Linked DNA regions of Neodiprion lecontei. The protein of the gene in region 2 binds, or shares a complex with, the protein of the main gene of each other region. Links are inferred from orthologs where the notes say so. Each region holds a gene or a part of one and is shown on either strand. Other genes may lie near its edges.

Region 1 (16,652 bases), on a different chromosome or scaffold from region 2:
TGATGAAATATCCTCGGATAGTGATGAGGAAGATGGTCAGAGACCCGAAGAGAAAGCAAAAAAGAAGAGAAGGAGAGTTAAGGGTGTTTTAAAGCGGAGAAAAAAAGGAGCCCATCAAGATCCAAGCAATCCTCCAGTTGAGTGTGATTCTGATGATTCAATTGGATCGGCTAGTGATTTGAAAGCAATGAACGACGAAGATGGACTGCAGGATCTTGACGATGAACGAGAGAAAGTAGATGAAACAATCTCTGAGAGCGTTAGAACTTGTGGAAGCTCTGCGTACCATGCTGAGTGTGAATCGGTAGCGACGCATGAAGAAGATCACAGAATGCGGAAACCGAAGAAACATCATCGAGAACAACAGCTACCGACAATACAGGCAGACCCAGTTGTTGGGCATCAATATGGAGAGAAACCCTTGTTACTGGACGACGAATTAGATCCAGAAGCAAAACCCGAGCAGTTGCATGGGGATCCATTTGTCGGATATCAGTATGGGTCGAAACCTTTATTATTCAATGAGGACTCTTCATCAGATGATGTCGAAACGTCGCGAACACCTAATAACGGGGCATGGAAAGCCGAAGAAGATGTTTTCGCGTTAGCGCCATTTCCTAGATCAGATAGTTTTAGGAAAAGTAATAGTAGTTACAAAAGTGCCCAAAAGATCATTGAACAATCCAGCAATACAAGTTCTTCTCGTAATTCGAATTTGGTATCACCAATATCAAGCTCACCGATAATTGAAGGAGCTTTAGTCGACTTAGATGAAACGACGCATGAAACATTTGAATACAATCAGCACCCTCCAGCTCCCACAGCTGTTCCCGAGAAAATACAGAGCAATCACGAAAGTTTTGACTTCGCTGTTCCAATACAGTCAGCAGTGGATGAGGTAGAACTAAAGAACAAAGATCTGTTCGGGTCTTCACCATTCAGTAGCGGCAGTTTTACAAATCCGTTCAACAGTTTGACGAATTATACAGTTAGTGATAATTCTACAAATATGACTACAACAACACCTTTGAGGGAACCTCTGTACTCCAACTATATAAACTTTGCTCCGCAACCGTATCATCCGCCAAACGACTATCAAGTATCTCAAGCTGCTATAGTTTCAACTTCGAAATTTAGCACTGTGACTGTGCACTCAGCACCTATAGACAGAAGCTCACCTAAAGATTTATTTGGATCTGTCCCATTCGACGAAGTTGCATCGTTGAGCATAAGCAATCAACAACGACCAACATCTTTACCTTTGTCACACTCACCAACATTTGTTGACGACGCTTTGAGTACAATTTTATCAAATACTGCGGTACCCACTCACTCATCGGGCCGATCAGAAACTGTAGAGCCGACCTATACCATACAACCGGTTTATCATACTTCGAGAATTATAGTTCATCCAATGAACAGTATTCATATGCCTCAATTTCCACCTGAAGTTATGCCTCCGATGTCACCTGATCTGTTAGTTACCGATACATGTCCAAAGTTTAAAAAAGACAAATCAAAATACCACCTCATCCATGAAAACCTTACTGAAACAGCGAACGTTTTACCTGTTAAAACGCCACACAAAACTAAAAGTTCTAGTTCTAAAAAGACACCAAAAACGAAGAAGAATTCTACAAGTACAGCTGGATTTAGTAATATGAGCTTTGAGGATTTCCCAAGTGACGAAAACGAAGAGAGAAGAACAGGGACAAGAGTGGCACCTTTTGAAGTAGTAAGAGAGCCGGAAAAAAGATTTGGCTCTTTGAAGAGGCGGAGTAATCCATTTTCCTAAAAACACAAGTCTGTGCTGAAAGTATCTAACGACAAGTCCATAAACGTACACCAAGGTGAGCAGAGTAAAGCCTGTTCTTTGTACATTTTTTATTTATTGTTTTCTTATACACTTGCCTGGAGATACGCTATTCTTGCGATATTTTCCCTGTCGGCAGAACTATTTATTATCTATCTCATAATTACCTCTGAATTACGACTCAGGGGTATCACCGACTTCAATTAATCCAATCTTGAATCTGGGATAAAAATCGCATATTATTCTTTCTTAACAAAGGAGAGTAAATCAAAAGTACACTCAGGCGTTTTGTTATAATGTTATAAGACTTTCCTATGTTCTTCTCCAGTATATAAAGATTATCATAATGATTCAACTGGAAGGTCGTTAAAGACTTCAATAAAACTAAATTAACATACATTCCATAAAACGCTTTCATGTATTAAATCTTCTCAACGCAAATTACGGTTTGAGAATTATATTCTCTGTATAGATCTACATTTTTTTTATGGCTGAATGAACATCCAATGTGACGAAAAGAACCTGTTACTTATTTATTATCACTATGAAATGTGATATTATATCTCCATTAAGAAGATCGATTGATTCTGAGCACAGCCTGTTCACTACTGATGTTTATATCCAGACCAATAGTCTTTGAGAATAACTCGAAAAGCACATGTTATTTGTCAAAAAATACAGTATGAATTTGTATTCACATACAGGTATCTGATTTTTAAGCTATGTGATCATATATTTTCAATCCAGTACTTTATACTCCAGCTGCAAAATTGTATGATGCTTAGATGAAGCAAATATTTATAGTTTCAACAATCATTCAAATATTATTCAGGAAATTATTTGATAACTGAAGATATACCATAGAGAAGAAAGTATGTTGTAACTACTTGAATATGTAGCAAGGTATAAATATATATGTATAAAAATCAATTAATATAAATAATCTGAAAATAAGCAGCATTAGTAATAAATCTTACTCAGTAGTTGGTAAATATATCCAACGTTGCTAGAACGTTTATACTTTCCAATAAAACAAAAAAATTCATTAAAAAAATATATATAAATAAGTGGAAGAAAAATAATGTATGAGTAGAATGAAGAAAAGAAAAAACCATTTAATATTGTAAAACTAGTTTTTCTTTTCAAGTCAAACCAGGTTGTACTTGGCAGCTTAATACCAAAAAATACAAGGAAAAAAACTACAAAAAAAACAAAAAAAAAAACACGCACATGTCTCTATTTTTGCAGTTACACATTTTCACTACATTTATACATTCAAAGGATATTCGAACTGTACTTGTACAATTACCAATGTAATTTGTATGACGTAGAGACTTTTATTATCGATTTACCACATGTATTACAGATGCTAATTTTTTGTGTGTCATAATCGTGCTCCACGCATTGAATATGCTCTCGTTACTTATAGAAAAACTTCGACGCTGATTATACATTAAAATCAGTGACATACGAGTTGGCAACTATTATATACTAAAAAAGGCTTATAAACGAAAAAACTATCTGGCAATATACCAATCCGTATTGGTAGGTGTGCAGTTCTCCAAAGGTGCAGCTAGTGCCTCGAAGTGATTCAGTCTTTTTTTAGTGATGTGAAGCTGCTCGTACTAGAAACATAAGCAACATTTATTGATCATTATATTTTTTCCATTATGAGTTGAGTATCGTTGTTTTATATATTTCGGCTGTTGTAGATTTTCAAATAACCACAATCACAGCATTGCGTGAGACTGATACTGGCAGTTCTTGATTGTTAGAAATTTTTTTAAATGATGCTGAAGCGTAAACATTTCGTATTTGTTATTTGATACCTATCTAGTAATTATAAATAGGATTCTTATGTTGCATTTACTAAGTTGAATACTTTCCTGCACTTATATCACACGTCTATTCACCAAGTTGTTGAGCATTGCACTAAGGTTTAATTAAGTATAAAAGTGAGACAATACTATAAACAATATTTAAAACAAAAAATAAACAAATTAAATGATGTATGTAAAAATACATATATATAAATATATGTGTGTGTGTATGTGTATATATATATATATATATATATATATATATATATATACACACACACACATATATATTTATGTATAATACTTGTAGATATACTAGTTTGACTGTAATATTTAGGTGCCTTCCTTTTATTAAATCAGTTTCAAAGCTTGGCTCTATTGTCATTTTCCACAGAGAACCGATTAGTTTTTAAGCTAATATGTATTTTTGAGAGTCGAAACCCCAGAGTAAATTAGATTTATCATTGGGTTTCATTCAAACGTTTCTCACGAAAATAATGATCAGGCTTAGCTACTGATAACTAAATTTGGATTCGTACTTTATGAAATCGATTTCTGATTTCGTATAAATAAAATTTTTCTTCACCATCTTAAGTTCAAATCCATACGGACCAAATATTGAAGGTATTTTCACGCCATTGTTATTAATATTATTATTATTAATATTATTGTTATTAATTTACGATTATTTCTACTATTACCATATTACCAGATTTATTAAATATGAGAATGGGAAGCAGGATATTTTCGAAAAAAAAAAAAATGCTTCATAAAATTGCTACTATTTATCAACTATTGAATGCAAGGGTTGTAATATATGTTTAGATTTCCTTGAATACTTGTGAGTTGAAACAACATTGATCACATTCCACCCCTTGATAGCTTCTAGTAACTGCATATTTATTGCTTTTAATTTGTCATTTTTCTATTCTTCGTAGGGATGCATAAATAAATCTTTCTTTTTCTGTAACCTGTATCTCTCTAACTTCGATTTATTCACGGTCTGTAAAGCAAATGTTTCAGCATTTAAAAAAATTCCGTTTAAACTTGTAATTGTATTTTAAATTACAAAGGTACGAGATAGTATACATATACACAAATTAATGAGGTGTGCCTGAGGTTGAAGTAGAGAAATAACGTTAGCATTTATTTGACATCAGCATCTTTGTTATGTTAATATGCCAACAGTTATTGTCAAGTCGGTAATGGTAATTTAAGAACCACACTTGTCGCGTTCTTAAATAATCAAATTTCTTCACAATGTGCAAGGAATTGTTGCTACGATGAATCTATTACCCTGCTTTGCCTTCATTTTATAACTGAAATCATGAGTTTTCTAAATCAAATGTTGTCGACGTTCTCGAAATATTTTTTTTCAAGAGATTGCAGCCGTATATTTATTTATGTATACAGTTTTGTTGTTTTACTATATTATATTGTTATTAAAATTATTATATGTATAGTTGTCCACATTTCTTATCGAACGTACTAGATGCAAGTATAGTGCAGGTCTACAATATTAATTCAACCATATTCTTACTATTCTTAGGACAAATATAATATATTCGAAAGTTTCAATACTTGGCTGATGGAATATTCAGTGGTATGAATATTCATTTATGTGCTGAACTGTTTTGTCTACTAAGGCGGCTTTAATGTAATATTATTTATTACATTTATCATTTGAGTGATTAATTGAATGATGTACAATGTACATACATGAAATGAATAAAAATGTACCTATATGTATAAAAAAAAGAAGACAGCTACAAATAAAGTCTATTATCATGTGATATGAGAATTAAACAATTTTTCCATAGTATATCTTTAAAAAAATACTTTAACTCATATTAAGGTGTCATGTGTCTGATGTATGTATACGTCAAGTCTAAATATGTTGTTTGCATTACGGTATACCTAAGATCAATATCGGAGTTCTAAGACAATTTGCGTTATTAGTAATTCCTTGAAATTATTATGGATATCAATTATCGAAATAATATTTGATCTTTAGTAATAAAATATAATTTGTAGTCACCAGCAACAACAACTTTTCCCATTCAAATCAATCTGCCTCTCTCTAGCCATGAGAAGGTTTATAGTAAGAATACCTATCCATGCGAACAAGTTAAACCAACTGGTTGTAATAGCTAATTGCAAGGATAGTCCGGTATTGATCTCATCCCCGCGTCTCCAGTTATTAGCATCTGGCTGTAGATAATCCATGTAATCAAACACGGCTCCACAAGATAAGCGATTATGAATCACCTGAAAAGTTGAGGCTTTTGTCAGAAATAATACTTTTGTAGTTTCTAAAACTGATGTGAAAGTTGCAGCAATTTATTATGCTTCTCCCTTTCGTTCTGATTTACGATTGAAATTATTTTAGATTGATTACAGAATACGATAACGTCCACAATACCTGAACTTCACGACCGCTCGATCCTAAGAGTTGAACCATGTTTCTTCGATATTGGTTACAGGTTTTATAGTACCCGTCAGTTAACAGTACAGCATGTGATAGGGAGAGAAAAAAGATGAACACTCCTAAAAATCCAGCTAAAAACCATCGCTTACAAATAGTTCTTCGTTTGGGTCCCACCACAACGACATTTCCCTGCTCTGCCCTGAGGAATGAAATTATTTGTTTATTTCGAGTTCGCTGCATTCAACAACGTATCAATTAAATTTAATTTATCAGGTATTTATTCCAGAGTTAACGTGTTACTTACCTATGGTCGGATGAAGATGTCATTTGAATCTGTTTAGGATCCCCTAAGTTTCTGTTAATGCATGTTCTGTAACCATGATAAATTGCAAGAACCAGCCCGACAATCAGTACCGGAACTAGACCATATGATGTGAAATGGCACAGCTTAACATCGCCCCCCATAAAAGTACTGAATGTGTTGACACCATACAAAATACACCCACAATCTACGCTAATACAAACATCTAGAGTCCAAGCCCAGTGCTGCCATACTATGAGCAGACAAATTGTGGATGTCGTTGACAAGATTGCAGAGACCGAATACAAAACTGCAAGTTGCTTTTCAGCTTGTTCACTTTTTGCATATAATTCGATACTTGACATGTTTCAAGTATTCTAAACTTTAATCGGTACAGTCAAAATCAGACGCGCATTGCGCATATATCGCCTACAGTTTGAACGTAAATATGCTATTACACACTCATCGTTTTCACTACCTTATTTACACTGTACTTATCATTTATTTATATTGGATTTTTCCTCATATTTTGTTCTGCTCAGAAAACTTAAAAGTCGTGTATTTCCATGGAAACTGAGCTGAGCGTTCTCCGGAACGGAGAGAACCGTACTAATTGTAAGCGTTGCCAAGAAACTGTGGGTACAGTTTATATTAAACAGAGTATATACCGGTGTCTGATGCTAAATGCAGAACACGATAACTACCAATTAATTTTGCTACACAAATACACAGCATGTCAGAAATGGAATACAAAATAACTATTCACCACCTTGGATTAATTTTACAGCATGATACAGAAAACTTTTTAGTGTTTTAGAATTTCAATATTTTCGAATTATTCAACAAATATGGTCCTCAGCCTCAGTCTTTAATTTGCAGATATCTTATTCTCACCTAATATTTAGTCTAAATAAAACATTTCACTCAATATTATTTCTGCTTCTGGAAAGTGGTGCATTAAATTTACCGAAGGATGCAGTTTATCGATTGTACCAGTGACACATCTCATGTACATTTTCAAATTGAGATTATTGCGACAGTATTGCGATTTTCACACTGAAACTTTGCTTGAATTGATCGAGTGACTGCGTAATAAATTTGGTGACACAGTGCGAGAAAATTTCAAACCATTCAGAACAACGAGTATGTGGTTCAAAGCTGATCAAACTATACTACTCCACTGACTGAGATAGTGCTGGATAGTGCGTCGAAGATAGCTGAAAATATTCCATTATGTGTCAACTGTGATATACATATGAGTGTACATGGAATAGAATGAATTCTTATTTAATATTTATTAACTGTTTACCTTGGGGCGCAAACAACACTTTATATTCATACTACAAGTTATGATAAATTTATTTGGCAAGGAACACACTGACATTTATTGCTTGATTGATAATCGAGCACCGAAGCAACACAAGAGTTTTGATTTCTCATGAATAAGATTTAAATTCTGGCACAGATTGTTAATTCCGCTTTCTACGCTACACAATTCTTGGAATATTTAAATATGTTAAACGACGTGAAAACGTTTTATGCGCATTTTATACCATAGGTACATGATATCAGGTCAACCTGCATGATCAGATAAACTTAGATAAGATTAAGCGCCATGCTCGATGAATCAGCGACTGTGAGATTTTATTATTTTTCTACCAAAGATCCAAGGGAACACAATACAAGTAAAATACACAAACGGATATCGAATTTGAGGGATAATCTAAGTCGCACGTTCATTCATAGTATATACCTAGTATGCAAATCACATATGTCGAATATTGACAGGCCAATATTTGTTTAACTTGGTTGAATGTATGAACTTTCGAAGGATAGTGAAAGAAATTGAAATATGGAAGAGGAATGTAAAATCAGATCTTCTTATGTTAATAGTAATCGATTTCACAGTTATGTTACATTATGTCGCTCACATGGCTTGATCCACATAGTCCGTGGCTTGATCCAATATTAGAAGAAAATATATTTAGTTTGAATATAAACGCAAATTACATTTTATTTACAAGTTTCTTTATTTTGTTTTATTATGGTATAGCTTATTTGAATGGACAACAAAACATTGTTGTCTTACAATGCATGGAAAAAAAAATTTCTATGTACAGGGCAGGGAGAAATCGATGCTAGTCTCTATATGGGCAGGTAGCCAATTGATCATTTCCGTCTATAAGAAAAATAAGAATCTATGTTAAACTTGTGAAGATTGATGAAAAGAAAATTAGATTCGAAGTCAACCAAGTGTGTAAATAATTAGAATTGAACGTAATTTCAGATATGTCAATTGTTAGTTGTAGCACCATCTTTTATGTTACATTAAGTATGAAAAATATGGATGAAGCCCATGAAGGATACAGAGTAGAAGCCAATCTCTAATGTGAAAATCGTGTATTTTATTTTTATGTTCAACTTAAATACATTTAATTCAAGTGACCTAGTTAAAATTAGCTAGGAAAGTTTTTAAACTGTAAAAACTCTTCAACCAGAGTCAAGTAAACAGAAAGCAAGGAGTATTCCGAACAAAATAAAATCGATACTTTTCAATCGAATTCAGCGGTACTGACACATTACTTCTTTAAATATCAAACCAGAAGTGAACGCCCATAACAGCATACTACATTTCAATTGGATTCATTTTATTACGAAGAGGAACGTTTTTCGTGGCAAGTAATGAAATATAATATGCAAGCTACTGTGCCAAGTATCGATGAAATTCAATAACAGTATTTATAAATTAGTTCAAGCCGCGTGTGCTACCAGAGATTATAAATAAACATCTACCGCATTGTGGAACAATTATCATTCTCATGTACACATCACGTTCACATCGCAGTAATTCAAATAGAAGTCGAAGAGTTTTACTGTGAATTATTTTATCATCATTTAGGTAAGGACCCTGTAATCAACAACGTACTCATTTCGATAGATTCATCAGACTGATTATTATTCGTTTCCCAAGGTGGATTTTTGAAAGAAACCCTATTACCGTCAGAAGCGTTAAGATGGATAAGCTTCAATATCTGAACTGTAGTAATTAAAATGTTTTGTAAATTAAACTATGTTTAGTATTAATGATTCAGGTAAACTGTAAAATGAATACATGTGGTAGTGGGTATACGAATATGTAATAAAATCACATGTATTTAAATAACTAATATATTTTCACTACTATCAGTTAAAAGAGCTAATGAGAATTGAGATTTCGTTTTTAAAATTGGCTCCAAATGACTTTGGGACATGCTACGACTGTTCCTGCTCAAATTTATTAGCCAAACAAAAACTCAACTCATTTTCATTACGACAGCTGATATTGTACAGCGACTATGACGTGAAAATCTTTCAAAACGGATGAAAATTAAAAAATTCAATTCCTATTCTTCAAAACAGTTTGTATGTATAATACTTGGAAAATTCTGATTTTTTGCACGTCAGAATTATACATTTTTCTCTGTATTAAGCTATTAGTCAAGTGCCCTCGAAATAACAATAAAATTTAAGAGAAGGATCGTTCGTAGCAAACAAGGTTGACTAAAGGTGAATTTGAGACACACACTCTTACGCCGGATTGATGCGTTGATGACTGATTTGTGAAAGTGTTTCCCGGTTATTCCATAGACAGTATGCTGCGGCTATTGCAAATCCAATTCCTCCTCCCGACGCACACTTCCTTAATCCAGCTGAAAATATTTATAATACCACCTTCATTGCGGTATGATACAAAGCCTCTATATTGATCGCTAATAAATGAATAATTTAAAATATCGTCAATAAATATTTAAGCAAACTCAAATGGAAATAATTTGTAGAGCACAACAATTGCACAATATGTTGGTAAATTGTTTTAACAGTAGTAAACCAAGTCCGCTGGGAATTGCAAATAAAGACGCACATGTAGATTTGAATAGCATTCCAGTGGCAGTCGCAGCTCCAAGAGTATTTATCGAGTCATCTGTTCCTCTAGCCCAAGAAAGTATGACTCCAAAGCCACTGTACATTACCGATATGACTCCTAATGTGTTTGCCAGTGACGAGCCATGCTTCATTACATGATTTATCAACCTAGAAAAGGAAATGATTGCGATTCAGATGTACGTATAATATGCAGTTTCAAATAATTCTTTCAACAAAACTATGGCGTTGTCCTAATCTTGCTGCATTTTCAAAATGTACAATCCTCAATACGCATTGAAACTAGATATGCCGAATGATTAATGAGTGTAGATGATATTATGATATTACACCATTTATTGTAAAGTATCCTATTACGTAATAACTCACTGTGTTCTCCTAAGGTTGCCAGTTTGTCCAGCTAAGGTTGTGGCTTTAATTCCTTTATAAAAACCAGAAGTGCCACCTAGGCCAGCGCCAATTATGCACGCAGCTCCAATTTGACTAAAGGCTAATTCAAGTCGACCTCGTTGTTTCACAGCTCCTTCAGGGAATATAAATTCCGGCTGGCTGGCAGGCAGGTAGCTTGGGTCAAAGTTCAAATATGGACTAAGAGGTGCCAATCCTGGTTGTGAGGTGACTGAAATATTGACAGCAACAAGTTTGGTATTAATTAAATACATTCCCAAACTGTAAGCAATGTAAGGAATTTAACAAGGTAACCAAACCAAATACCCTGAGAAGACAATGTATTCTCTGTAGCGGAAGGTGTAGCCTTTTCCTTATCTCCCAAGATCTTAGCATGAAAATCATTGATGATTGATGTCATGACAATTTCTATGGTGAGAATGATGTCAGCACGATAAATTGCAACTATACGCTATGTGCAAATATCGCGTACTGATGGTGATATACCGAGACTTTAGAGTACATACTAATATTTGTCAATGTCATTGCTGAATTGTACGTAATTTCGATGTTCTCGATTTCGCTACGACAGTCTAATGACAGTGGTATCGCGTCTGTTATTGCATAATTGTTTCACGTGGGGAGTAGACTTCAGACCCATAGAGTTGGAGGAAAAGTGAGGTTATGCGACGATACTAAGATGTTGGTGAGTGATCATCGGCGTATTTATACGCCTCTAAAGAAGCAGTGAGACAATACATAATATGAGATCGAACAAGCACAAAGATTCGACGAATCTTGACTCGCTTTTAACGTTTTATAGACACGTACACATGCACTCACTGAAAGTTCGGAATAATGACAAAGTTTGTCATGATATGGCAACACGACATTACTTCAAATTTACCTGAATTTTGCGAGTTGATGTCACGTAAGTCAATCATTTTCGTGTGGATTTAATTGTTTTATAGCTAGCCACGAATAAACGAGAGCAACTACGCTCCCTGATCATTAGATGCGAATTTTGCAATGAATGACCGGGTTGCGTGCTCAATCTGTGGATCGAACTCGACAATCCATTAACATGTTGAATTGTTACCAACATTGAAATACAGTTGGTACTAGTAGAGCCTGAAGTCAGGCTTGTATGTACATACGTGACATGCGTGAAACATGTGAGATAACGAACGTACGCATTGTCAGCAGAGGTTTCTCTCTGTTGTCCGTCGTGTCAGTGTTCGCAACCCTGCTTCGAAAATACTTAATCGTATTGTGTCAAATTCCATTGAATTCCAGTAACCTAGAGTATGTATTCTCCAGCAGCAGACTCTCAGTTCCAGCTTGAATAGTATTATACATTGAAAACAGATTTGGCGAAGAAATTGAATCGGGAGATATCGAACCTGGTGACCCAGACTTCGGTAAGCGTTGCCGGTTTTTAAATCAACTCATAAGAATATAATTATCACTGATCTTTGATGATTACACATGACAAAGTAATGAAGTGTACTTCAGGTATTTTCTTTATTTCGTCGAATTTACATAAGGCGTATAGAAGACTTGGGATTATTTTATCTTTTTATTATTTAGTCTTTCAGTTTTATAAAGCAAAGTCATAGAACACATTTGAAATGAAAAATGCATAATTAATAAATTCGTAGTACAAAAGACAAAAAAATTCCTTGAATGTACTTTTATTTTTTTTAACAACGCGTTAGTAATAATCGTGAGTAATATTTAAATTGAAAGAAAAATCCATATAAATAGCTATTACTTAAAAGATTATGGGATAATAGTAAAAAGTAAATTAAATAGGACGAGCTAGAATGAACGTTCACATTGTTTTCTGGACACGTACATATACTAAAATATTGGAAAGACAATGTAAAACACAATTAAAAAAAAAAAAAAAAATAGATACAAAATAAACACTAGTATCATAACAAAGTATTAGTTCACGAAATCTATAAATAATCACTGTAAGTTTTCAAAAAGTCATAAAATACAGATCCAAATGGATCGGTGATATTTCACTGATAACTAATTGAATTCTTCCATGTAGACTTATAATTCTGTCATTTTTAATTATGAATGGATCTGTGGTCCAATCATCACGTACTTAATTTTATATAGAAATCAGATAACGCAATTAGTAGACAAAGACAAGTCTGCACAACTATATGGATCGCCTGTAGATATCTTACTTGTTGGTATTTTAGAAGTAATGAAATGCGTTTTAATGACATTCACAGGAATGCCAGAAAATGAATTTCACGTACATAATTATAAGTGGAATGAACTTTTCAAAAATTGATTTCAACCAGAATTTAATTATGAATAATTAAGTAGAAATGAGTACAAATTTAAGAATCATATTTCAGAGAGCCTCGATACAGACACTTTATATCCAGTTGGGATTACTAAAAATATTTCACCTACATTTTAGACCGTTTACGTTATAACTACACCGTCCAAACTTCAACAAATAGGTACATCATCCGCATGATTGTATAGTTTACATTGTCGAACAGAAGAATATAATCTCCTCAACAAATGGTGTTTAACTAAATAATCACCACTTTCATAACGTTATTTGGTAGTTGACATTTTCTTGCAAAAAGTATGCATGCTATGTAAACAAGTACAGTAAATAGCCTCCACGCTAAATTATCCGTTTATACGATATTAACAAATGTGGAAGTCTTTTCAGCTTTTGTATGATGATAATTGTGTCGTGTATAACATCAATTCAATAGTGTCTAATTTCGTTACTTCTATTCAGACCTGGAATCCACATGGGACTTTTGCAATATACGGTATTAGTATCAACAACTTTTCAAATTAGACAAGGTCAATTGATCAACATGATTTAGTGTTTCACCCGATTATAACCGCTCATAATTATTGCACATCCCGCAGTAAATACACTCCATAAAAGGAGACTAGCTTCTACTCTTCCTACGACAGCTCTCAGGCTGTCTAGAATTAATTTCAAAGATGGGTTCACACTCTGCTCATCAGGCTTGTCTTGGATGATCTTCATTTTTGATAAATACTCCAATAGTGGTGGGTGATCTTTGCTGAAGATCGGGAAGTATTCGCCAATCTTCTCCCTGGTCCACCAGGTCGAACTGTGTCTAACATACGAGAATTTTCAATTAGGTATTACTAGGAACTTAGAAACCTCCTGTGAGCAACACGCGAGTAAAGATAATGTCCTCGTACCTTTGACTCCATGGGGTGTAATGATAGTGGTAGAGGCTTGCTTTTATGTATTTAGGCGGGCTGTCTCTGAACGGATTCTGAGCCTGATTAATAAGTGCCAGTACTTCCGGTTGTCCCGACAAAAGTCTATAGGCTAATGACATTAACCATGGGTTTTGATGGTATGTTCCTAGTGCAGCAAACCACATTTGCCAATCTAGACGAGGCTGATGTGGTGCTATAAAAAATGACCATGATCGGTTAATTATTGAGCTCAACATTGAAAGCAAATTTGCTTGTTACTTCTCAACGGAAAATGTTACCAAATAACTAAAGACTTGAATTGATATCTACGTCTGTTAACTGTTACAGCGGCAAGAATATGTACTATTTTACTTTTTAAATACTCAACATGCCTGCCACTGCAGATTCGTTTTTCAACTTACCAACAAAAGGTAAAGAATTATTGACATTTCCTGGCTTGTATAAGAATTCATATTCTCGCCAAGGTCCGTCTATGCTGTTGCTTCCTTCTATAACAACTTCTGGTCTTCCTCCCACTCCTGTCATTCGTCGGAATAATCCGTAACTATTAACCAGATGGAGATGATCTACGTCTGAATGCATATGCTTGAGTAGACTTGGGACTGTAGAATTGTGTGAAGAATGGAGCGTGGCGTACGGCACCTGTGAAGAAAAATCAATAAAAAAACGTTGAAAGAGAATCCTGACATCGTTTTGGGATAGAGAGCAAACACAGGCATAGCTGCAGAATTATAATGTGTAGTATAAATTGTTTTACTTACAACACTAATGCCAAACAGGTACACAATATTAAGAGTGTAAATAATGGTGGTAAAAGTGCTGAGTAATTTGCTACCAATTCCTTGCACAGATAAGATTGAATAGGTGACAGCCTCAGCTACAACAAATCCAAGGGATGCTAAACCCATGTAAATAGAGATCGGAACCACAGTGGCTAGAGCACGATCAAACTGCTCTTTTGTAAATGCTGAAATCCAACATTTTATTTTACAATATTGTTGTTGATTAATTTTATTCGAGCTTCGAGACTGTGGTAAAATATAAAAGTACATTTTCTGTCAATCTCATTGCTTACCGATCTTAGACTCAATGGTAAAATCTTCGGTTATTTTCAAGTTGTAGTACACGTATGTTCCATATATCACAGCAGCGTATACGAAAAGACAGACAACTGTTGAGAAGTAATCAACGAAATCGGATTGACTGCTTTTTGCTTTCTTCTTGTAGAAGAATTGGTCGTCCAATAAAGATATAGAGAGGCAGATCGTTAACAGATTGAAGAAATTGTAATTTCCCGTAGCGATAATATTCACTTGCAGAAATACCTGGGTTTAAAATATAATTATTACAATTTATACATGTTAGTGACTCTGTTTCAACTACTTTATCCATTTATAACGGTCGCCCTGGGCAAGCAATAAGTCCGTTTCTTTGAAATCTAGCATACAAAAGACTACTTTGTGTATAATCTTTAAATTTGCAGGAAAAACGTGAAATGCTAAACAGAACTCGTTTAAGTAAAAAATTATTTTGTTGCATGTATGCTTACTTGCAAGTAGAAGGAAGTGATGCGAACTTTTCTATTTGGGAAGAAGAACAGAAACGGTATTGCGAGCTCGAAAACGTTTGCTCCTACAGTGGTTAAGCGAAGAAACCATGCCGGTAGATGATGAGCATACCAAGCCAAGGGAGTAGGAATGCATTGTGACTCAAAATGCACGTTCAAGGCTGGAAAACAACAAAATAAGTCACGGTTAATTTGTTTGGCGAACGCTTGTGGCACGAGAACACTCTTGAGGGTCTTATCCCTTTGCTACGATATTAAATAATGAGAAATAAAGTATGAGCAGCAGCTGAAGCTGCAAGTCTAATTTATTGTGCTCAATATCACGTATACGATAGTTCAAGTGAAAAAATCACATACCCTCCAAACCCCACCACGTCGGACAGCCAGAAGTTAGCTTTACAACACCGCTGGAAAACATCAATCGAAAGAGTAGCCAACGAACTGCCCAAAATGTCAATGCCGTAGATGGAGTGCTGGATTTTCCTCGGCGGGGGTACCAGAAGGGTGCAACAATAGTGCACAAGAATCCAGCTTCGAGAAGAAGAACATCCCTGTAAATAAAAGTTATTTCAGAGAAAAAAAAAATTTAACATTATCAGATGACAAATCTTAAAAATTGAATAAATATGATTGTTCTGTCATTTCAGTTTCTACTATAGAAAGTAACTCTTTTAGCTAAAAAATATTCAAAACTGATGATATAGGAAAGAAAGTGACGAATTAGATGAGAAATAAAGAAAGCGATGATATCTTTTGATAGATTGGCAAGTCCAATTCATCTCGTTAAAAATAGACATGATATCGGAAGCATACAGATTTTATTTGTAAAAATAGTTGCACTCATTGGTGAGCAGTAACCTTGACAAACACATCATTCGATACTCTGGTCAAGTGTTGAGTGTCAATACGATTCTCGAGTTACAATTTCATGTAGACTGTCCTGTTCAGGCCTCCCATCAAGCTTATGCAATATTTCTTGGGTTTTATTTCAATACATATTTGAAAGTATACCTGACCGACTAGCCTTGGATTTTATTTAGAAAGCATTATAAAGTGAATAAAGCTTGATTGGGATGTTCAGCTCGTGTTAAAATGTTTGAAAAAAATCTCACCACTGAAACAACATGAAAGTTTGTCCAACTTGATAAAGGGAGTAGTAGAGAGAC
Region 2 (16,652 bases):
TGCATCGAGCGTCTTTTTGGCGCTGACGGCATGGCGCTGCCGTGTCAAGTTTTCGTCGCCTTAATTTGACGCCCGTGATAATCCAGCCTAAAGAAACCTTACCGCAAGCCAGCTGATACAGCTTGAAAATTAAGTAACATTTCGATTCTGTCTCAGTGTTGTGTGATAGCCGTAACAAATGTTCGGAACATTGGTATCAACGCTCTTCAATGCCACCAGGTGAGCAGTGTGGGTTTATGTTACTCTTTGTGAAACTAAAAAAAACCTATTTTTTTAAGGTTAATAAATAACTGCACTTATAGCGTAGAATCACGATGTGAGATATTACATAGCGTGTATTAACAGCATATCTTATACATCTCAGGCAAATTGCTCCTTCATTCATTGGAAAACAACTCCATTCGACATCTTTGAAAGGGATTACAAACGGATTATGTGTATCGAGTGTCAATGCTACGGCAGGAGGAACCTGGGCCTTAATTCCTGTTAGGAACAAGATCCGCTGGCACTTCCCAAAGGCTAGAGAAACTATTCGAATTGTAAGACATGGCTGGAATACAAGAATGTCTACACCAAATGGGCGGAGAATTTTAATGCGAAGGATACTTAAAGGGAGACATGTCCTTAGTCACTGAATAAAACAAACAATTGATTATTAGATGGTATCATAATTATCACTGTAAAAATTTAGTCCGTGCAATAAATAAATTTTCGACGCTTCACAGGTGTGACCAATTTTATGTATATTTTCTACCACTGATGTCTATTTACAATAAAGACTGCATATAATCGGCAAATTAAATTACCTGCATTTCGTGAATTTAATCACAATTAATTGTACCATGGGTATAATTCCGTATCAATTCTGAACACTGTCCTCATACATATAAACTAAAAGTAGTAACTACATTACTCAATAAATTCGATGTATTAGTGCAGACGTCCTACTGGAAAATTTCTTATTACTTTGTAATAAAGATGCAAAGTTGTCTGCGAACGTACTTATCAAGTTCAATGCCATGAAATTGCAATTGTACTGTCAAAAAAAAATTTGAAAAACAGTCTAAAACATTGATACAACCCTATTTAACACATGGACTTTTACTGTGCGACAGCAACAGACATTTCATTATGAACTTCCTCATTTCCAGTTGGAATTTTGAATTGGAGCTGGTCACAAGTCCATTGAAAACTATGCGGCAATGGAGCCACAAGCTTCAGATCTTGCCCACGAGATGGAAATGACATTAATGTAATTTCTCTCAAGTGAATGTGCGCAGGTATTATGACTGCTTGAGACTGTTGCAAATTCAACTTTTTTAAGAGCTCTGGCTGTAGTATCGGTATTTGCCTTGACGCATCAACAAAAGGACTTATATGCATATACGATCCCATTAATTTTTTCACCCGAGAACCATGAATGTTATCGCCTAAAATGGGGCTGACCAAAACAGTCGAAGCAAACACCCTTATGGCGTGCCATTTTGTCGTAAAACATTGAATTTCCATTAGGGCAGACAAGTTCCCATCCGAAGTTGAAATTGTGCGATAACAAACATCAAACGTTTTCACTTCTCTTCTCTTCACTTCATTTTCTCCCCATTTGGTCACAATAATTGGCTGAAAATTAGAACAATGGATTCGGTATCAGTAGTGAATGGCTAATGGGATCACAGGTATCTGAACAATAAAATTGTCTTTAGTAATGATAACAAGATTAAAGCTTAATCAGATAATTTTATGAGATGTCTACCTGCTTGTAAGTTTTACACGGGCTCTCTTTCTTTCTTATGGCAAGATTTAATTCCCCACTATTGCTTCTAGGTAGCTTAGTCGTGACAACCCAATAACTTCGTGCAAATGTTTTAGCACATTGGGCACGAGATAAAGCCTTCTTTATTGCATAAGCTTTTTTTTCATCGCTTGCTAGGATTGAAATGCCACTAATATATCTGGAAAGAATAGAAATTTTACTGCTTGGCAAAATCAATTACACATGGATTTTTTCAACAAGTATAAACTGTGATACTAGATCGGTGAGTTATCTTAGGGAAGTTAATAAATTATTCTCTGCAACTACCTTTCAGGAGATTTGACAATACTGAGCGATGGATATCCAAGGTCTTGAGATATTTTCGGAAGAACATCTAACAACGTATAGTTGACAGAATTGGATATGCCAGCCATAGGCTTCCATTTTGTCCTTTCACTCGTTATTTCTCGCGAAAAGTTGGAAATGCCGTACGGTTTGTTAAGAACAACCACACCATCTAGCACCAAATAGAATAATAAAAATAATGTGGAATTCACATACTTACAGTATCTCGCGAGACTATATAAGTGAAATTTTTTTTTTTTATTATAACAAACACGGAAAACGTTACCTTTGTTGTAAATAACATTGTCAATCAAGTCTTGGGAAAAGTTTTCGATTGATTTCCAAGGGTGAATTTTTTTATACGGATGTAAGGGTTTCCTGTCTCGTTCGACCTTTTCTTGGTCATTCGTTTCTCGGGAACCTGTCTTTCGATTTTTTGATTGTTTATCTAGGTTATGAGCAGTCACAAATGATAACCTATTCGTGCGATTCACTTCGTAAATTTTCAATAACGTACGCTGAACGAATTGTTGCAAAGTACCCTTCATCGTAAACTTCGGGTATGGTATCTATCAACAGTACTAAAACTCTCGCATCTTTATCCAATATTACCTTTAACAAAAATTACTCCAAAAATTGAAATGCACCTACTCAACAACACGGATTCGGCGAAACACGTGTGTGTCAGCCGGTCGTGTCCGTGTTTGTTTTTCGATGAAATTTCCGACGTTATAAACTATTCCAAAAACATCGCAAATTCCTGAAGCACGTTGACTGAGGATCTCAGTCAAAGCTGTATGTAAGACCACGCTATGATCCCACGTGCGTCCCGCGTCTTTATTCATTCGTACAGGCGTTGGTACAGAATATGAAATATACGAACAGGCGATGTTCTTTACCGAATTTACCGCATTAACGTGATAAAAATGTCTTCAACAACTTTAAAACCATCCACGAATATCTAAAATTATAAAGAAAAGCAGGTTAGTTTTCCAGTATTTTCACCTTTAGTTTCTGATTTTAAACACTCACACCACACTCCAGTTTTAACGTATTCTTTGTAAATTTATTCTAGCAAAATTGTTGAAGGATTGTATTTACACTAGCTTATGGTATGTTTGAATTGTTATAATGTTTCAACAAAACGGTAAGGCACCAACTTTATTGAGCCGTGCAATAAATAACCTGCAAGGCAAATTGAAAAACAGCTTTCTCAATGGTCATCCACATCACATAGTTCCTGGTTATAATTTAAGTAAAAATCCTGACGTTGAGAATTATGACGAGGATCATCTTATGAATATGTTTCAAGAGTTTCCCTACGATGCAAATTTACCAAAGCCTCTATTACCCCCGGCAAGACTGCCTCAGTGTGGTGAGTTCTTCTGCAGTTTAGTTTGTAACCTTTACCCAAAAATTCCCTGAAAGTTGTCGTCTTCTTAACTTTAGAACAATTTTCCTAGTTCTTAGAAACAGTGATCCAGCGTTGCAGCTTCTTAAAATTAAATCTGAAATCAAGGACAATGTCAATCAAATAATCAAGTATCATGAAACACATAGAAAAGGTATGTGAAACGTATATAATTTTTGAACTACTGGTAAATTCGAAAAATTAACGACGGAGCCAGGAATCGAACGTGGTATCTAGCGATGCTTTACCGGAGCCTTACTCCACTAGACCACCTAGCCGCCCTGACTCTGATGTCGTTAATTCCTCTCATTACCAGTAAGTTCAAATTTGTTTTCTTGTGCTGTGATAGTATATGTGAATATAGAAAGTGGATAGTAAGTTACCAAAATGTAAACACACTTACAGACACTCTTACAATTGTGCTCGAAGAGGAAGAACACTTTCTATATTCACATAGAAAAGGTATGTTATTAGATTTTAATACTGAGAAAAACAGTGCAAATTAATTTTACCAAAATTTAAAAACATTCATTTAATCTCGATTTTTTTCAGATCTGAAAGTTTGCCACAAGACAAATCTAAAGTGGACAAAAATAGGAAAAGATACAGTAGAATCATCGGTGCCAAGATATGTTGCTAAGTTGGCTGAAATAATGGAGTGTGATCCAGATCCTGAATTTGAAGGGGTAAAAAATTGTCTAAAGAAACAGAAAATTTCTTTCATTAGATTTTACAATTTTTACACTAATAAATTTGTTTAGTACAGTTGAAATGAGTTTTTGGTTGAAGCTGGATTTACTTGTTGTTGAGAACATATATTAACTGTTGTAGGAATATAACTGGTATTATACAGGTGGATCTTTAGACAACTTGTGTGTCTTTGATAGAAATATATTGCTCTTTCCATATGCCAATGAATTAGGTATGGAAGTAATTAATATTTGATCGATAATTGTACCATTGTAAAGGTCCAAGGATTGAGTAAAAATTGCCATTGCAGTTGCTGCACCATTAATTGAGAAACCAAATTCATCGTGGAAGCCAAATTTAAGAATAGCAGGAAAATGTGACCTCAGGAGTACCTTGTATGAAGTAAAGCATGTCGTTACTGCAGGGCGTTGTTGTGAGTGATACGTTGATAATCTAATATTTCAACTAAAAAGCTATTTTTCGCATGGAAGTTCAAGTTAATGTAATGTACACAACAATTTTGATCTGTAGAGTATCAATTGCCAAGCCAAACACGTTTTAAAGGAAAAATTCATAACAGAATTTATAATAAAGATTCTGTCTAATGAGTAACTTTTTCTTGGTAAAAATTGTATTTCAGGTAGGATTCTCGGCAGGCAAAAGTACTCTTGTAACTTCTATTCCCTGAGGGATGATCAGGAAAAATTGGAACTGAATGAAATTCACCAGGAGCTATCAGAGTTGCCATACATTAGTGCGGACTTAAATCTGATTGAGTCTAATAAATATTGTGTAGTGAATAGTTCCCGATCTGTGGAATTCAAAGATTTGAGTAAAACGTAATTTCTTTTGTTTCTCATAAACAAAGCTGGTTCTGAACAATTGTCTCCTCAGCTTATGAAATGATGATTGAGCAACAGCTTTTTAGTTTAATTTACCAATCATCAATGATAATAATTTTCCTTTATGTATTCAACAGGAAGTGTTTGAGCTGCACAACAATGCCGAAACATGGAACATTGCCAGATAATTGGATGAGTATAAAATTCAATAAATCAGATCCAAATTTGATAACATTTGTTGACAGGTGTTGTCTATATTATATTGATTTACGGGTAAGATTTACAAATGACCTTGCTGTCCTTCATCATATTTTATTCGCTGTTCTCAAATATTACGTAAACTTCATGGTTTCGACAGATTCCGTTGGATGGGCCTACTTTGACTTTGTGTCCGAAGCATAACTTGGAAATATGTGAGATGATTTCTGTGAATTCTGCAAGCAAACAGAATTCGTTTCATCAATACTTGGGAACATATCACAGCTTGTTGTTGTGCGACAGTCGATTTGGAAATTCAAGTGTTGTACAGAAATGGACTCACCAGTTTAAAAGTCCTCCAGTTTTTTCTTCGATTATAGAAAGGTACGTATATTTGGTTACAAGATCACATACTAAAATATAAAACTATTACTCTACAAATATGCTTTACCCACCACACTTAAGCTATTATAAATTGGAAAACTATTTTGACATCCAACTTCCGGTGGTTAACATTATTTTTAAATAACTAATATGAATACGTAATGATATCATCTATTGACAGAAATGGTGAAGAGATTATCACTTTATCTAGCCAGTTGGCTGGGGAAAATTCAATAATTATTAACAATTGGACAAGCGACACAAAAATGCATTCATATGCTTTGCCATACATGCCGCCAAGTACGTCAGAAACTTTGAAAGCATGCCAAGACATAGGAAAATGTCTAGAACCGAACCTGAGAAACAGATTAGAACTTTGCAATGCTGGTACTGTGTTGAATCTAAACGATAGAAATGATGTGACTCTGTTCACTCAGAATTCAATAGGTACAATAAGTTTCGTGTAACCGCATACTAGTAACTTTTGTGAATTCAACAAAAGAAATTTAATAATTTTATATGGCTCAAATGATATAGGTGATATATTTTACCAGTGCATAACGCACGAGAAGATTTCAGGAAATGATTCAGACGTGAATACAAATTCTCTACTGGCATTAGAGGCTTGGGAAGAAGCATGTTTAGCACAGAGTAAAACTGTGAAGCCCTTAGTAATCTCAGAAAAAGCAAGTATGGAACATATATTCAATGGTGAGTTGGAAAAATGATTAAATCGAAATTTATTATTGCAAGCAAGATTGAATCAGTTACTTCAATTTCTAATGATATCTTTCACCAGAAATGAGGAATAAAAATCGTCGCTTGGAACAGAAGGAACCAAAAGTACGATGTCATGAACCGAAGTGGTTTCAGTCAGTGGAGGAATTAAATTCTTACGTTGACATTTTCGCCCCAGAACTTTTAGCAATGTGGGACATACGACAGGATTCTGCCCCCTTGACTGTAACTCCGCACCAAAAAGTGTTGAGTTGGTTGGAAAAGAAAACTCCCTCTCAAAGTACGACACAGTCACAAAATCTAACACAGTCCCAAGAAGACACATCGATAATAAACGAATCAAACGAAATTCTTTCTCAAGAATTGATTAGCGTATCTCAAAATGTACCACCCCAGTATACTCTTGATAACACTCAGAATGAGCAATCCTGTTATGATGTACCCAAATCAAAAAAATCTCGGAAAAAATTGGCTACAAAGAAAAACTACATTGCTGGTTTTTAATGAGTACCTATGTTCGAGTCGGAGAATCGGAATTTCTTTTTTTATTCTTAAAATCGAAGCACAAGTGATAGTCCATGGCGATGAAATGTTAACATTGTTATTAATATTTTTAGAACTGTTAGTTTCAGTGATCCATATATCATAATTTGCATGGAGATAAAACAGTGAGAAATAATTAATAGGAAACTGGTAACTTCGAAGGCCTGCATTAATTTTGGTAAATGTTACAGCATAGGTTAAGTCAAAAAATAAATTTTTGAAATGGTTTACAATTACTGTATATTCTTATTTACAAAATATGTTGTATTAAGTAATACAACAGGTTAAATAAATTATTCAACTTATGATTGGATATCAATAAGTAACTGTGAGTTTTCATTCATTATAGCATTTTCAAACTGGTTTTCTGATCCAGAAAGTCACGGGCGATAATGAAATGTGATTTATGCGTACTCGTTCTGACAGTAAATGCAAAAAATATTGCACTTTTCCACCTTTTACGTTCAATCGTTAACGATTCCGTAAAAATGATGGTTTCCATTTCGACATCAGCACTTTGTTGTCGTCCTTCAATGACTTGTGTTCATCCTCCTCCATTTGTAGCTAAAGAAAAGTAAATCGTTCGTTCAATCTATCGTAAATTTATTGCTGTAGACTATGTTTTTAAATAATCATAAAAATCAATTTGATTATTTTTATATAAATAGTGACTACTTACCAAAAGTTTTCGTTGGTTCTCTCTGAAAGCTTCTAATGGATTGTCAAATTGTTTGTAGTAATTAAGAACATCCCTCACATCTTCTACATTTGTTGCTGATATCACTGTAAAAAGGTGAATTTTGCGTTACAGCATTTCAACTTTCTGATTTGCAGGTAACTCATTTTCGTGTAAGCTATCTCGAAATATCGTTAAGTGATCTAGCATTCATTTAATAAATTTCTAATTTAAACATACTTTTGAGGAATGCAGCTAAGTCATACAAAGTCGTATCATCATCGTTCCCTTTCCACCTTGGAAGCTTCAGTATATTTTCAGGATTGAGTTTCACACTTTCGCTATTCCAATCGACTACGATTACCTAAGAAAATCAAAGCATGTAAATCATAGTTAATAATTAAACGATACAAGATGAAGAAACATAACAGGTACTTGGAATATGCCTCTTTATAGCAACTATTTATTTACTATTATTATTCTAGTTTGGAACAAATTCTTATCCCTGCCAAGTGTTTTTTTTTTCCAATGCTTTACACATTGTATTGAACTCACTTTACTGAGATCCCTGTTAAGTGCAGCCAAATCCTTGACGTGGTGCCCATCCACAAAACGCGTTGCATCTCTCACCAGTCTGTACATAATATATCCTTGCGGGTCTAAAGCATCCAAGATGGGGAAAACAGTCTGAAATTTATTGAAATTTTGCATACGTAAAGAAATATTTCAGAAAGTAAACGCACAGTATGCTGTATAAAATACTCACCATTCCTTGTTCGGCTGTGTAAATCACAATTTCAAATTGAGGTGGTGCAACAGCCTCCAAAAACTGATCGACTCCTGGACGTTTCTTAAATCTCCAACCAGTTTGGTACTGTTAGAAAATAATGACCAGTTTGTTAGAGTGAAAGTTGTATGAATTATCATCTCATGATGAGTAGTGGTTGTAATTATTGAATTGGAGTATATTCAACGACAAATTAAATGGAACTACATTGTATTTCATGATTCGACTTTTGCATGGTCTACATAGTAGTCACAGAATGTAATTCAGAACTTTATTAACATTGTCATAGTGAATAACGCAGTAAATGCTTACCGTCCAATCAGGGTGAACCAATACATCTGTCAATTCAAGAATCAAGGTATATGGAGGTTGCATATAAGGATATTTCAATGGATCTGGTAGTAACTTCTCTCTACTTGGTTCTTGAACAAGCTGTATGAACAGATTTGATGTTGTTGATTGATTAGAACAGGGGTATTGAATTTAACAAAAAAAAGCCTTGATATCATACTTTTTTGTAGTAGTTTAGTTCCCTACGTAGTCTCTTGTACAACTGTTCGAAGTAAGGTAAATTACTGAATTCATCTTCGATAATGTTTCCTTGTTCGTCAACATTGGGTCTAGCTAATTCATAAATTAAGAAAGAGCCCATCACACCCATCGATACTCCAAAGAATGCAAAGCTATACTTCATCATTTTCCACGAATGTTCTCGCTGCTTTTTATCTTCGGCTTCTTGTTTTTTCTGATCCGCATCTTGACTCGACTCTTCATTTTGACCACCTGTTGCACTCACGGGTTTTAAATTTTGATCAACTGTCGATTGTATGTTTGTAAGACTCCCAGCTATCCCAGGACGGTTTGCTAATGAAACATGAATAAAATAAACCCACTAATGTAACACACTTTGAATACAAGCAAGCTTTTACCTTATCTTTAAATAACTTTAAGAAATTAATTCAATGCTGTGATATTTCTTGATAAACTTTGAAAAAAAAAAAGTTCACATATTTTGTTTTGCAAGGAAAACATTTAACGTTTGTTTACTGATTGTATTGTACGATTAAAGTTAGCCTCCCTCCCAAGCGGTTCAGAATAAGATGACACTCAGCTGTAAAAAACACTCATTGTATTTGAATTACATTTTTTTGAATGACGAAAACGTATCCAAAGGCTTAATTCCTCACGTGCTAATTTGCAGAGCTTATTTTTGACAGAGTATACGGAAAATAATTGTGATATTAAAATTAGCTTTAATGCAGAGTTGTAGTAATGCAGATTCGCCGATACGAGAACAGTAAATAGAGTTTTCAACGGTTTTTTCTACGGTATTAAATTCGTTTATCAAAGTCTCGCAAGGTTGAGGTTATGTCGTTAGCGCAATGTACTCACGATCGGTGCTGTAATAAAATTTTTGTGCTGACTGAACAACGGATAATTTTCTAATCGGTTGACGGAGCGTTGAATACGTTCCGCACCTGTTGCTATTGTATATTTTACAGAAAACTCGTAATCCTCGAGCCGCGAATGCCATCGCTTATCACGTACCACACTTTGATCAGTTGGATGGTTGAAATATTTTGTGAAGAAATGCCGGGATTTTTCGGGTAAGCACAGTCTACTAACTTATCGGTAGATTCCCAAACTGCCGAAATATCGAAACACACGTGGAAAACCGATGTATTTGCAAATTTCGAAATCACCAGGATGAACATAATTTTGTTTTTCTGTTGGAAAAAAGATGAGTGTTTTCCAATTGGGAAGTAATGAAGCTTCCGAAAGTTTTGTCAGAAATTACAGGAATAATCGACTTTCCGAAGGCTCAGTGGCTACAATTTTCGGAGTTCGTAGAAGTTCGCAAAATTATGTAGCCCTTCTTTACTGAACATTAGATTTTCCAACCAAATTTCATTCAAGCTGATTTAGTGATTTCTCCTGAATTTGAAAGATCATTCACGTTGAAAAATTGCTTCCACTTAACGGTTTGGTGGAATGAATGACCAGAATAGGTGTATTTCCATAATAACTTCTCGATACCATATGAATATTCTTTCGTGCAAGATGATTATTCAATAATAAATTTTTATTTCAAGTTATATTGTATAAATATAGATAATACCATCATCATATCTCTGTGTAGATGCCAAAAGGTAATGCTGAGCATTTTATAAGGTATATTGGCATTTCCATATTATTGAATTAGCGATCATTTAGTTGAGCACTTCTTTAAAAAAAGATTCGATATTAACGAATATTAGTTACTCCGACTAGTGTATCCAATATGCCTAAATTTTGAATGGACAATTGCAGAAATACAAATCAACTTTTTCGTTAAAATAATAATGATTCATTCAGGAATTTCAAAATGAAGGGTCTACCGAAAAACAGTCAAAATTTTTTAAACAATTTATAAATGCATCATTACTAATTTTATCGCACAATTCAACTGAGAAAATATTAACCACCAAGAGAGCTTCTGGAATTTTTTCTTTTCTCTGTATAGACGGTTTTTCTCTAAGTATTTGTTTCCTTACTTATTGTATAATAACAGCCATATGTTTGAACGCTTAGTAGAATAAAATATAGTATAGATTTTAAAGTACAAATTTTTGAACAAGAATTAAAGAATAGGTATTATATGCATTTAGTTTTTTCTTAGACTTCGTAACTCAATGGTGTTTCGTTTGCATTATATTTTTTCGATGAAGCATCTTGACCATCTTTTTTGCCGTGAAACCGGCACGGCCACCCCAATGCTTTCGATCTCTTGTCTCCTTTGGTTGGACCCAGTAATCGTAAGACTCTTCATCATCTATTCGTTCTTTGGAATTCGATCGACATTTGTCTGGTCCATAACATTTAGAACCAACTTTCGCAAAAACCTTTTCTCGAGCATCTTGACGCGAAGAAGCACGTTCGAAGAACCATTCAGAGCGATGATTACCATCGCGATGCATCTCCCGAGCATGAGATCTGTAAATTTCGAGTTTACACATTTATAGGAATACAAAATACTGGTCGATTTAGAGTAAGTTCTTGTAAATCATGTTACCTTTGTAGTTGCCAATCGCCTGATAACTGACCACTACTCTTTTGATTGGTGTTTTGCTTTTTTGAATCTTTTTGAATTTTCGTAGGCCTCATCTTCGGAGGCGGCAAAGTTTTTTCGTTATACATAACTTTTTTTAAATCTTCAGTATCATAATTGTTCTGTGTTTTTATCCACTTTTTACCGCGCTTCTTCTTGCGTTTTTTGTTATTATCTTTGTTTTCGTCATTAGATACCACTTTTTTCTTTGATTGAGTTGATGTAGTAGAATCATTGGAACATTTTTCACCCTTTCGACAGAGTTTGAGAGACCCGTTCGATGAAGGAATTTTTTCATTGCTTTGTAACAGCTTTTCTTTGTATACCTCTTCTGAAATTTCTTCGCATAATGGAGATTCTTGGAATCCTGGAGCCACATCATGTTGTACAACCGACTGGCGAATGTTAGCATTCCACTGCTCTTTCATGATCTTGACATTCTGTAATACATTAATATCACTTTCACTTGGGGTGACATCGTGCTTTGTCTCGCGCAAGTTATCCTTTTCTTCGGCGCTCACCTTTGTATACAAAATTGAAAACAACATTCAGAAGGAGAGCAAATTACTTAACGAATCAATTCACACGATTTCCCAAGGTGTAAATTACAAATAAAATGCTCGCAAACCATCAATTTCTTACCTCGCTTGGGAACTTGACACTATGTGGTTTTTCCTCATCCAATTTTCCCTGCTCAGATGGCACAGCATTGCTTGTTGATTTTAAAATGGTCGAATACAACGGTTTTTCTTTTGCATTTGGTACTTCAGGCTTGACCATTTTATCGCAAATAGATTCTAATTCAACCCAAAGGTTTTGACTCATAGGACAAGTTTCTGCTGGCACTAGTATTTCCATCACAGAATTTTTACAGCTTTGCGAATCTCTGCTTGATTTCATAATCTTGGTTCTCTTCTTACCCCGTTTTATGCCATTCTCTAACAGAATTCTCCCGGACTCTTGTTTAGTGTCTTTTCCTTCTAGGCGAACATTTGGTTTTTTTTTCCAAAAATCAATATTTTTATTGTAATTGTAAGTCAAATCTGGCATTGAACTGTCGCTAGAGTAATCTTTTGAAAAATCATTTTCAGTTCCAGAAGACGAGTTTTCGGATAAGCTTGCTATTGCTTTACCTGTAGTCTTCGGGTAAATTTTTCGATTCGATATTCGTTTTTCTTTTGTTTCTATAGAACGTGCATTTGGCTTTAAGGTAACGTTTAATACTCTGTCGCAGCTCTTTAGAAAAGAATTATTTTCTTCTAAGGATTGAGACACCTTTTCATCCAACGATCCAGACGTTTTCAACAAGCACAATCTCTTGTTCAACTTGTGCCTAACTTTGTTTAATTTATGATGAATTTTCATAGTCAATCCATGTATGGTATAAGTTAAATCGGTGAGCAGCGATTCGCAAACATCTCTTATCCTCGTTTCAGCATTTCTCAAAAACTCCATCTGCTTTGGCCTTTCTGTATTACCAAGTTCTTTCACAACAGTGTGTACAATATTTTTAAATTCAATCAAATCAGTAACAATGCTTTGTGTCTTGGATGCGTCTAAACTTATAAAGTCATTCTCTGGGTTGATATCATCAATAACAGAGCACAATGTGTTCAGTGATATTTGTAATTGTTCCAAGATCGTAGTATCTGGATCGAAGATGTAAGTGTCTGAAATTTTAAAATGTTTCTCACGTTGTTGGAAACGTTTTGTTCTTGATTTAGATCCCCGGATGGGTAGTTTTTCTTGTGCTCGTTTCACTTGCGGAATACTGGCTTTTATTTCGACGAGAACGTTTTTAACTGTAAAAAAAAAAAAATTACAAATAATGCTGTCAGTCACTTAAAAAAACTCTTGTAGTTTGTCACCCATGCATGAGTACAGTTATATTCTATCTGCTCTAGCTTACCTTCGTTTAATTCTTTTATTCGATTAATCAACATGTCACTTTCTGCCTTTATAGTATGAAAATCAATGGCACTCGTAATAGGACACTCGTCATCCATTCTAAGGATGCGGCCTGCACCAAGTCCAATGATAGCTGCCAATGAACAGGCAATTACAAAGTTCAAAATCGTTCCAACCTAAAAAAACCAGTTTTGAAATATTTTGTTACATAGGCATGTGAATGTGAGGATCTGTGTTATGTGAAATATATTGATGTAAAAGTATGTATTGTTCTTAATATGGCAATAATAGAGGTTTTGCAAATTTATGGATCAGTGGTGATAAAATTGTAAACAAGCTATTAGCAGCTTGGTAATTGGTTGCATAAATTTCTACGAGTATTTAGGGAAAGATTAATCCAGTTTTAGAATGGGATATCAGCACTTTTTCCTGAACTAAATTCCAATATTAAAATTGTTTCGGCGATAGATTATATTGAACTACATCATAATATTTACTGCAGACATTGCTGTGAAAACAAAGATATTCTCTGACGAAATAATATAAAATTCTCTGTTTTACTGTTTAATTAATTTTCAACATAGAAAATACCTGCGGACTTGATTTTTCTCCAGTCTTTTCAAATTTGTTAATCGTACTGCACAAATGGTTTCGGCAACCATTGATTTCTCCAAATTTCTTTGTTGCAATTAACTGATCACAATCGCAATCAGTTATTACCGATATACCATCAGAATCTTCAACTGGTTTGTCATCATCGCTTCTCGTTTCATTATCCACAGCATCGGTATCAGGTGACGAAAGCACTTCTATACTCTGTGTGAGAATAGTTTATTACTTGAAGTCAATTGAAATTTCATTACTGCAATTTAAATATTCCGAATCGAGTACTTTATAAAACGAAGTAAAAGCTACGACAACTTGCAAATCTCTCCTGAGAGCAATATATCACCCTAATAAGTACTGACATTATCGTAGCTGTGATTATTGACAGTTCAGAATTACAAAGTCTTGATCTATACAATGAGTCTTACCCCAAAAGTATCCTGAGCGTCGCTGACAGACATGTCGTTATTACTGCCTTCGTCGGAATCATCTTTCTTTGAACAATTTCCACCAATTATTGTCCAACCGTCGTTGAAAAAATTTTCGATACTTTCAGAGTTCCCAAAATCGTAATAAGTCTGTTCATTGTCAGCCATGATGAATTGTTCTCTTTATGAAGTCTGTGCCGATGTAGCGTAGAGTCGCTTCTTTATGCCATCTGTAATTGGATTATTAATATTAAAGAAGTTTTAAAACAGCGCAACCAATATTTAATTCTTTAACGTGGCATTAGAATTGTCAAATAATAACTATTACAATGATTATTATCGTTTAAATACTTAATTTAATATGTGAATAATAAGCTAATTCTCAATAAATTACACTGCAGTAAGGTCGCATTGATTATATCAACAGTTCAAACTGATCGAGGCAAAAGTGTACAATCGTTTCTACAATTGAGAAGTTTATCTGACATGAAAGTGAATAAAACTGTGAAATTGTGTGGCAGTATGACTGGATGTAGTTGAAGTAATGAACAAAGAAGCTGAACGTAAATAGCACCGCAGATATATAACGACTGCATGGATGCAAAATACGCATAAGGCGTTATTCAGAAGTAAAATTTTATGAATAAGACTTCTGATACACGTAATTCCCTCCCGTTTCGCGTTCAATGACACTGAAACATTGCAGTCACCTATTGTAAATTGTAAATAATTACTGCAAGCTAGACGACACTTTGGTCGCATAAATGAATACGTCAAATCGTTCAAAGCTTACTAGTAGTTTTTTCGTAAGGTTTCTCGTTCTTGTTCTTGGTATTAATTTACTTGTCAATTTCAGCGAAAGTTTAACATTACTTCGTTGCTGCGAATGGCGTGGCGATGTGCAACTTTTCATCGTTGTATTATTTTGTTTTAGCGTTTCCCCCCTTTGTTTTCTTTATTTTCACTACCCGGGATTGGTGAATTCCATTTGTTTGGCAACAAATGGCACGGCCAGCTGATTGCTAGCGGACAACATTTGACGTGTCAAGGCCGCTCGATGCGCGTACTTTCATCCTTCCTTTGTCAGGCATGTTTATACGAATTAATACAGATATGTACCTACTTTCATTCGAGAGGCAGTTCACTCTCGGAGTGAATCGAATGAAAAGTCATTCATCGTGTATCATACGTATACCAGCGCCATACTTGTAGTACCGATTCGATAATGGATTCCCGCTTAATAGTAAAAAGGAGACCCATCTCTAATGGAGGAGCTTACAAAAAATTTGTCCTCGAAAATTTGTTCTTTAGTAGTTTTAGATTTCATTAAGAGCAACGCCGTCATCGTAATATTCTGAGGTGAAGTTGGTAAGAATTGACGGTCTTACATACAGGTCCGGAAACTAGTAGGGTGGGGAATGACTCAGATGAGGCAAAACCGTGGTTCTCGTCTTCGCCGTCTGCAGTGCTGCCCACTCGGGGTGAGCCAATCATAAATCAGATCCGAACAGCTGATTTTTCGGAATCAACAATCCTGAATAACACTCAAAAATGAAGAAAGATGCGAATAAAAATGATTGAGATGTTTACTAGCATTCCATGGCGGGCGTGATAATTGTTTTATTTTAACGGAATCCTCAAATGTTTAAGTCAATAAAATCCATAAACATCAAGCGAGGGCTCACAATTTTGAGACAGTTTGAGATCTTGTGGAGATGATCCACCGTTTACACACTTTACACGAGTTATGAACTGTCAAAAACTTCGATGAGCAGGTTATCTTAACGGTATATATCTATATCTATCATATCTAGTCTATCATACCTATACCATCAGCCTAGTCTCCATTCTGTATCCGCTGTATCTCACTCCTAGGGAATTTTCCGTGCTATCAGCAGAGAGCCTACACATCTCTGCTGCCAGTTTTTGTAACATGGCTGCTGATGGTGGCTTTTGGCATGCTGTTTGTGCGTGGAGTTTCATCACTGGAAAAAAGAACCGTTCTTTTAAAAAACGGATAGTGGCATTGAGTACCTGTTTTCACCGTCGGATAGAGCTAGCGTCTAAATACAATTTTCCTTGGTGATTCCCCGCTTAGAGTCTAGACGCCTCGTAGCTGAGCTATTGAAGTATTCTTGTACAACCGGTGTGTAGATAAAAGCTACGTATGTATAGACATGAAAATTATAACCGAACGTATGTACTGGAATGAGTACGAAGAGGTGAATCACGAAATCAGGAATTCATCACACAAT

Evidence for each region.
Region 1: mitochondrial import inner membrane translocase subunit TIM50-C (region 2) and mitochondrial import inner membrane translocase subunit Tim23 share a complex: the UniProt entries of both Homo sapiens proteins name them as parts of the TIM23 complex. The link is inferred for Neodiprion lecontei from reciprocal best matches to the Homo sapiens genes TIMM50 and TIMM23.

What each region holds. Positions count from the first base shown.
Region 1 is NC_060260.1:5,831,396-5,848,047, forward strand, and holds mitochondrial import inner membrane translocase subunit Tim23, read right to left. Parts: upstream 11,387-16,652; 5' UTR 11,092-11,386; coding exon 10,998-11,091; intron 10,903-10,997; coding exon 10,653-10,902; intron 10,434-10,652; coding exon 10,264-10,433; intron 10,112-10,263; coding exon of another isoform or gene 10,062-10,111; exon of another isoform or gene 10,052-10,061; coding exon 9,934-10,051; coding exon of another isoform or gene 9,930-9,933; exon of another isoform or gene 9,926-9,929; intron 8,542-9,925; coding exon 8,532-8,541; 3' UTR 8,359-8,531; downstream 1-8,358. Other genes in the region: BMP-2-inducible protein kinase, read left to right, coding at 1-1,795; uncharacterized protein LOC107225069, read right to left, coding at 5,668-5,901, 6,056-6,260, 6,366-6,727; lipase maturation factor 2, read right to left, coding at 13,540-13,807, 13,896-14,112, 14,321-14,561, 14,681-14,886, 14,995-15,244, 15,469-15,647, 15,844-16,037, 16,599-16,652. UniProt on the Homo sapiens protein: Essential component of the TIM23 complex, a complex that mediates the translocation of transit peptide-containing proteins across the mitochondrial inner membrane.
Region 2 is NC_060265.1:20,609,999-20,626,650, reverse strand, and holds mitochondrial import inner membrane translocase subunit TIM50-C, read right to left. Parts: upstream 10,035-16,652; 5' UTR 9,902-10,034; coding exon 9,760-9,901; intron 9,232-9,759; coding exon 8,879-9,231; intron 8,800-8,878; coding exon 8,680-8,799; intron 8,455-8,679; coding exon 8,347-8,454; intron 8,268-8,346; coding exon 8,136-8,267; intron 7,945-8,135; coding exon 7,821-7,944; intron 7,688-7,820; coding exon 7,584-7,687; intron 7,469-7,583; coding exon 7,376-7,468; 3' UTR 6,884-7,375; downstream 1-6,883. Other genes in the region: 39S ribosomal protein L34, mitochondrial, read left to right, coding at 179-219, 365-635; mitochondrial mRNA pseudouridine synthase RPUSD3, read right to left, coding at 1,102-1,620, 1,754-1,952, 2,081-2,270, 2,385-2,646; uncharacterized protein LOC107223411, read left to right, coding at 3,230-3,473, 3,562-3,663, 4,062-4,195, 4,341-4,431, 4,510-4,632, 4,840-5,038, 5,179-5,314, 5,400-5,623 and 3 more; uncharacterized protein LOC107223414, read right to left, coding at 11,037-11,340, 11,420-11,976, 12,098-13,257, 13,365-13,539, 13,955-14,179, 14,398-14,565. UniProt on the Homo sapiens protein: Essential component of the TIM23 complex, a complex that mediates the translocation of transit peptide-containing proteins across the mitochondrial inner membrane. Has some phosphatase activity in vitro; however such activity may not be relevant in vivo.